Mus musculus: one gene and its partner. The protein of the gene in region 1 interacts with the protein of each later gene in a biochemical or structural test. Links are inferred from orthologs where the notes say so. Each region holds a gene or a part of one and is shown on either strand. Other genes may lie near its edges.

Region 1 (3,649 bases):
TTTACCCCACCTGCAAGGCATGCTTCTTTAATCCTGCTTTAATCCAGCCTCCTACTATCCCCCACCCCCAACAGCTAACCAGTCAGGAGGTGCTGCTCCCACTGGGACCTAAACCTACAGTCAGGGAAGCTGAGGAAGGCCCTGCTTTTGGAGAGCACAGGACATCTGCGTGAGAATCAACCAAACCCTTGCCCAAACACAGAGCCTGCGTTCTTTGTGTATTCGCTTGGTTTGTTGTATTTATATGTAAGGGTGTTTTACCTACACATATATGCACACCATGTGCATTCTTGGTGCCTAAAACAGCCAAAACATGTCAGATCCCTTTGGAGTTACAGGCAGTTGTAAGCCAGCATGTGGGTGCTAGGAATTGAACACAGTCCTCTGGAAGAGCAGAAAGTACTCTTGACCACTGAACACTCTTCCATTCCAGATCCTAAGTTCTTTTTAGAAATTCCCACGCACTAAGGAATAAACCAGCCTTCAAATGGCACCAGAACACTCACAGAGAGCTGGCCCCCACACTGCAGCCAGAACACTCACAGAGAGCTGAACACTCACAGAGAGCTGGCCCCCAGACTGCAGCCCAACAACGCTGCTGGTGGCTCTGGTACATCTTTTCCTAAATCAAGGCACAGAACCTTCTGCCTGTCTAAAGAACGGGTCGCAAAGCTGCACTTGCGGTGAGAACTGGCTGCCAGACATGCTGCGATCAGGGTGTGCAACAGGGCGTGGTTTCCTGAACAGTCACTCCTCTTTCCAGAGGCGCCCAGGGATAGCCTGCTTAGCCTCTGCAGAGAAGGGAGGAGGGACTGTGGTCCTTAGTCTATGCAAGTGACTCTCCATAAGAGGACAGAGACGGACTTGGGCTCTTCCAGTCATCAGCTGAACAACAACATAGGCTGGGCAAAGAAATTCTCCTGGGGGGGGGGGGGGGGCTGGAGAGATGGCTCAGTGGTTAAGAGCACTGACTGCTCTTCAGAGGTCCTGAGTTCAAATCCCAGCACATAGTGGCTTACAACCATTCTTAATGAGATCTGATACCCTCTTCTGGTGTGTCTGAAGACAGCTACAGTTTACTTACATAAATAAATAAATAAATAAATAAATAAATAAATCTTAAAAAAAAAAGAAAAAGAAAAAAGAAACTCTCATAGGCATCCCACCCTGACCCAGACAACACACTTCCGCTCAAAAGTCATAGCCTGCTCCTTATCTAATCTGACTCCCAGGAAGACAGAAGCAAGCCATTGGCAGGCCCCTCCCAGTTTTGGCTGTTCTGCAAACTGTGTCATGTTCTTGGCTTGGAAAGCAAGCAACCAGAAAGCTGTAAGGCTTGGCATAAACATGGCTTCCTCTACAGGATCCTCTCTCATCTCCACCTGCCCAGACCCACGTAAGCGGTCCTTCCTCTGAAGCCACACAACACCTTCAGGTAAGCGTGAGAGGAAGTGAGATGCTCTCTCTCTTCCCAGGGCTAGTGTCATGTTCCTATGGAAATACAGGTGGAAATGAAGAGCAATGGGCTTCTGCCAGAACCAAGGGCAGAGGTAAAACTTATAGAGACTCTAAACTGAGCAAAATACTCTAGCAGGTATCAGGAAAGCAGCAAGCACACACGTCAAGGGTCAGCTCACACTCCTAGCCAGGAACCCTTCCCACTCGGCATCCACAGCACCCAGCCCAGTCTCACACTATGGATGCACATGTGTCAGCAACAGATCCCTGTCCCTACCTGGAAAAGCTGGTTCCTGTAGGGCCACTCGACTGCTATGACCAGCATCTGGCCTCTATGCTGCCCAGCATCTCTCAGCTCAGGAGTATAACCAGGCCACCCCACCCCCACCCAACCCCCACACACCGGTCATGTGACAGCATCACAGACAGGAGCTGAGTTAATTTCCAATTCCCAGAAGGTAGCAACAGAACACGACGGCCATGGACACCCCGCCTCTTGTGCCATGGCTCTCTATGCAATACCCAGCAGCTTCCTTGTTCTGCACCAAGAATCTTCTGCTGCAACATGAAGGAGTGGCTTTCTGCGGCATTAACACAGCAAGCCCCTAGTGTGGCAGCATCACTTAAACCAGCGGTTCTCAACCTGTGGGCACGACCCCCAAAGACCACCAGAAACAGATATTTACATTGTGATTCATAACAGTAGCAAACGTACAGATGGTTATGGAGTGGTAACCAAATTAATTTTATGGTTGTCAGTCACAACAAGAGGGACTACTTTAAAGGGTTGCAGCATTAGGGATGTTGAGAACCACTGACTTAAATGGACAGATATTCACTAGGAGGGACAGTTCAGGAACACTTGCCATCCCTTCCCCAATCTTCTCACCCCAAGTCCCCTGACTGGAGATGTGTTATCAAACCCACCAGGACGCAATAATGTGTGTGTGTGAATAGTGGTGCTAGGGACTGAACCCAGGGCTTTGTGGCTGACTACACCCCAGCCCTAAGCCCTTACAGAGCTTATGTATGTATTTCCATCTCTAACTGGCCGGCTGCCTTCAGCAACAGCACCACCTGGTGTGCAGACAGCAAACCATTTGACTGTTTTCTGGCCCAGCTTTTTGCTCCAGAGCAAGCGGGAACACACCTACCAGGTGGAGCTCAAACAACAGAGACTAACTCTAATTCGGTTCTTTCCTATGCGGGCTACCTGAACTCTGCAGATACTCCCATTTCTCCTGCCTGTACTCCAAAAACATTTACTAAACTCTATTGTCCAACTTCACCCTGTAAAAACGCCTGCTGTAGCTAAGTAAGGAAGCCCTTTGTCAGGGAGTAGGAGTTCAGAGCCACTCACCTCTCCGTTCCCTAATAAGGACACTTCTTCTTTCCTTCACGTCTGAGCTTAGGTTATCCACCATCTTACTAATGCAGTTGTCCAGAACCAGGGAGTTGGTTCTGGACTCAATGTCCTTTCGACAAATGGGACACTCTACTTTCCGTTTCATCCATTCATTGATACAGAAGGAGCAGAAACTGTGGGCACAGTTCAGGGTGACAGCCTGCAATGTGAAAGGGACACTCTTACTTTCTCAAGCACAACAGAGCGAATCTCCCAGGCCCACAGGCAGACTCACCACAGCCCCGCCTCACAGAGGCTCCGCTCTGCTCCGGCTGGCTCAGCACCCGGTTCTGCCTCCCTTTCCTCCCACTCCCCTCCAGTTCCCACAGTCCTAAGCAACCCATCAGACTGGAGACTACGCTGGGAATGACTTGCAGCCAAAGTGGCAGCCAAAGTGACTCCAGTCACAGACCTGGTCTTTCCGCAGGAGGCAGACACACCCAATCTTCCTAGGGGCTGCTTGGGAACAGCAGTCTCTCTGCACACCCATCTTCCTTTCCAAAGGTGTAAAAAAGACTAAAACTCACCTGCTACTCAACTGTATAAGCGTAACACTTAGCATAAAATGAATTGGTTACAAATGGTACGAAAATGTATGAAAATTAAAATAGCTGGTGTGATAACATGGCGAAGTAACAAACGGTAGCCTAGGAGACAGGTGTTTGCTTATCTTTTTTTTTTTTTTTTTTTTTTTTTTGGTTTGGTTCTTTCCAGACAGGGTTTCTCTGTGTAGCCCTGGCTGTCCTGGCACTCACCTTGTAGACCAGGCTGGCCTCGAACTCAGAA
Region 2 (3,649 bases), about 6.2 Mb from region 1:
AAGAGAAGAACTTTAGCTTCAGCCTTCGGGATTCCCTGTGCCGGGCTCGGGAACGAAGACTGCTGGAGGTAAATAAGAGTCTGTCTTCTGCACCACGCTGCCGTCCTATCCCCTGGAGCTCTTAGAGGTTTCCCAGTGCCTTTGGCCTGTCACTGCAGGTGTCTGTCTCCATCATTCCTCTCTTAGGACTATGAGATTCATGTGACCCCTGGCGTGCAGCCACCCCCCCCTCAGATGGGCGAGATCATCAGTTGCTGTGGAGGCACTTTCCTGCCCAGCATGCCTCACTCCTATAAGGTATGGCAAGCATAGGAAGTGGGAACAAGAGAGGGTTGGAGGAATGATGGAGGGAAAGAGGAACAAGAATGAGGGAAGAGAGGAAGAGGTGCTGGCCTCAAAGGGACTCGGTGTTGTTGTTTTTTTGTTTTTGTCTTGTTTTGGTGTCAGGTACTTATTTTTTTATTTTTTATTAGATATTTTCTTTATTTACATTTCAAATGCTATCCCAAAAGTTTCCTATACCCCTTCCCCACCCCAGCCTCAGTGTTGTTTTTAAGGTTTAAACATTTTCAAGCAGCCAGATATGGTGCTCCACATTGGCAGTTTAGCACATGGGACTTGAAGCATGAGGAGAAGTTCTAGGTATATACTCATGGAAGCCCCTGGGACTGCGTGTCCCTTTCTTTTTTTTTTTTTTTTTTTTTTTTTTTTTTTGGTTTTTCGAGACAGGGTTTCTCTGTAGCCCTGGCTGTCCTGTCACTTTGTAGACCAGGTCACTTTGTAGACCAGGCTGGCCTTGAACTCAAGATCCACCTGCCTCTGCCTCCTGCATGTCCCTTTCTTACTCACCCCCACCCCCACCCTAACATTTTTTTAAGTCTATTTTACACACAGAGAAGAGGGGCTGGAGAGACAGCTGTGGTTAGGAGTACTTGCTGCTCTAGCATGAGCACAAGCGTTTGCATCCATCACCCACAGAAGGGCTCACAAGCATTGTAACTCCAGCAGCCAGGAAGTCAGAAGCCTTTTTGGCTTTCTTTTCGTTTAAGTGACTGATTAATTTATTAAGATTTAGTTATTCGGGGCTGTAGCGAACGGGGGCCAGAGCAAGTGGTCTGGAGCAAGAGGGAGAAGGAAAGGGGGGCTGGGAGGGAAAAAATTATTTATTGAGCTGGCCATGGTGATGATCCCAGCACTCAGGAGGCAGGGGCAGGAAGATCTCTGAATTTGAGGCCATCCTGGTCTACATAGCAAGTTCCAGGACAGCCAGAACTGTGTCTCAAAGAAAAAAAAAAAGGAAACAAAGAAAAAGACTTATTTTGTGTGTGTAGATGTTTTGCCTGAACGTATGTCGGCACTATTTGTGCACCTTGTGCTGGTAGAGGGCAGAAGAGAGTAGAGGGTATTGGATCCCCTGAGACTGGAGTTACATATTGTTGGGAGCTACCATGTAGATGGTGGGAAGCAAGCTTGGGTCAAAAATAGATAGATATACTTTGCTTTGCGCCCATAGTTAATAGTTTCAATAATGTTACACTTCTTTCTTTTTTTTTCCTTCCTTCCTTCCCTTTTTTTTTTTTTTTTTCTGTAGTCAGGCAACCTTTTTTTGTTTGTTTGTTTGTTTGTTTGTTTTTTGAGACAGGGTTTCTCTTTATAGCCCTGGCTGTCCTGGAACTCACTCTGTAGACCAGGCTGGCCTCGAACTCAGAAATCCGCCTGCCTCCGCTTCCCGAGTGCTGGGATTAAAGGCGTGCACCACCACGCCCAGCTTCCAGGCAACCTTTTAATGCAGTTCCTTATGTTATGGTGACCCCCAATCATAATATTTATTTATTTATTTATTTATTTATTGTTTTTTTTTTCGAGACTGGGTTTCTCTGTGTAGAGCTCTGGCTGTCCTGGAACTCACTCTGTAGACCAGGTTAGCCTCAAACTCAGAAATCCGCCTGCCTCTGCCTCCCAAGTGCTGGGATTAAAGGCGTGCACCACCACCACCCAGCTCCATGTATTTATTATATTTTCTGATTCTCTATTGTGTAGTGCCCCTCGCCCTCACTCCACCCCCTGCCTTTGTAGGAATTGACTTCCAGCAGGGAGGAGACCAGCTGTCCCTGAGAATATTCCTCAGTCAGGACTTTCCTGTGTTCCCTTGTTTGCATCGTTTTTATCTTATCCCACTATATTCTGTGTCTCATGCAGATTATGATAAAAGCTGCAGTGGGGGCTGGGAATGGAGCTTGGTCGGTAGCCTGTTTCCTAGCATATACAGAACTGGGCTTGATACCTAATACACATAATACCTACCTGTAATCCCAGCACTCTGGAAATGGGGACAAGAGGATCAGAAGCTCAAGGTTATCTTTAACTATGTAGTAAATTGCAGGCCAGCTTGGGTTAGTTATATGAAACCCTTTTCAAAGACAGGGGAGGGTAGGTTGAACGTTTGCGTGAGTGTGTTGTGTGTGTGTAGGTTCAGTTCTGAAACAGCTTAATGGGTCCTGCATCTGTTTCAAAGTTCCTTCCTAACCGTCTTTGCTGTCTCTTCACAGCTTCACCGAGTCATCATAACTTGCACTGAAGACCTACCACGCTGTGCTATTCCATCCCGCCTGGGGCTACCCCTCCTCTCTCCTGAGTTCCTCCTGACTGGAGTGCTGAAGCAGGAAGCCACACCAGAGGCCTTTGTTCTCTCCAATTTGGAAATGTCATCTACCTAAAAAAATATGTACCTTTACCTTCTCAGACCATCGAACAGTCCTAGAAAACACTTGGAAAAAGGAACACACACATACACAATTAAGACGGGGCAAGGTGGTTCACACCTTTAATCTCAGCACTTGGGAGGCAGAAGTAATCATATTTTTCTGAGTTCTGGGCTAGCCAGAGGTACATAATGAGACCCCATCTCAAAAACCAAATCAAACAACAAACCTCAGGGTTTCACAAAGGCCTAAGGTATATTGTATCATCGTAACTGTTTGGGGAATGTGAATAAGGCCTAAAATGTTTTGGGGAAAAAAGGGAACTTTTTTCCTAAGATAGCCAGTTTTTTAGTTGGCTCACCTGAGCTGGGTATGGCTCTCTACCGAGCACCTGCCATCTGCCCAGCTGTGCTCCGAGGAAGCTGCTCCAGGCTCAGTGCCCTGACTCTACCTCCTGTCCAGAAGCCAGCATTTTCTCTTTACTTCCCGGGGTTCTACTCAACATGAAGCAGCTCCCAGGAGTGCTTGGTTGAGAAGATGAGGGTAGCTCATGGGTGTGGCTAGGAAAGGCTTTAGTTTTGCTGTACTTGCTCTGCTTTGCAGTGTTGGCAGTTAGCTGTGGTCATCTCCAGTAGCTCAGTGCTCACTCTGCCTTCTTGGTGGCAGGTTTCTGTGTGGAGACACAATGGATTTGAACTTGCACTTCATTTATTATTATTATTAATTTAGAGTAAATTGTATTTGTTTTTTAAAGTTGGCTACTTTCCAGGATGTGGAGAAAGTAGAACTCATGAATACTGCTGGTGTTTGGCTTGTCCTCTGCAGTAAACAGTAGCAAAGTTATTTCAAAGTAAGCAGAGCTAGCCGTGGGCATTGCCTGTAGCCCCAGTGCTTAGGAGGCTGAAGTAGGAAGCTCACCAGTGCCAGTTCAGCCTGGGCTACAGCGT

Evidence for each region.
Region 2: the proteins of Rnf8 (region 1) and Mdc1 form a complex in vitro, tested with the Homo sapiens proteins (2 studies listed by BioGRID and IntAct, with this or other methods). The link is inferred for Mus musculus from reciprocal best matches to the Homo sapiens genes RNF8 and MDC1.

Annotation. Positions count from the first base shown.
Region 1 is NC_000083.6:29,635,192-29,638,840, reverse strand, and holds part of Rnf8 (E3 ubiquitin-protein ligase RNF8), read right to left. Parts: intron 3,024-3,649; coding exon 2,819-3,023; intron 1-2,818. UniProt on the Homo sapiens protein: E3 ubiquitin-protein ligase that plays a key role in DNA damage signaling via 2 distinct roles: by mediating the 'Lys-63'-linked ubiquitination of histones H2A and H2AX and promoting the recruitment of DNA repair proteins at double-strand breaks (DSBs) sites, and by catalyzing 'Lys-48'-linked ubiquitination to remove target proteins from DNA damage sites.
Region 2 is NC_000083.6:35,854,914-35,858,562, forward strand, and holds part of Mdc1 (mediator of DNA damage checkpoint protein 1), read left to right. Parts: coding exon 1-68; intron 69-186; coding exon 187-297; intron 298-2,549; coding exon 2,550-2,717; 3' UTR 2,718-3,649. UniProt on the Homo sapiens protein: Histone reader protein required for checkpoint-mediated cell cycle arrest in response to DNA damage within both the S phase and G2/M phases of the cell cycle.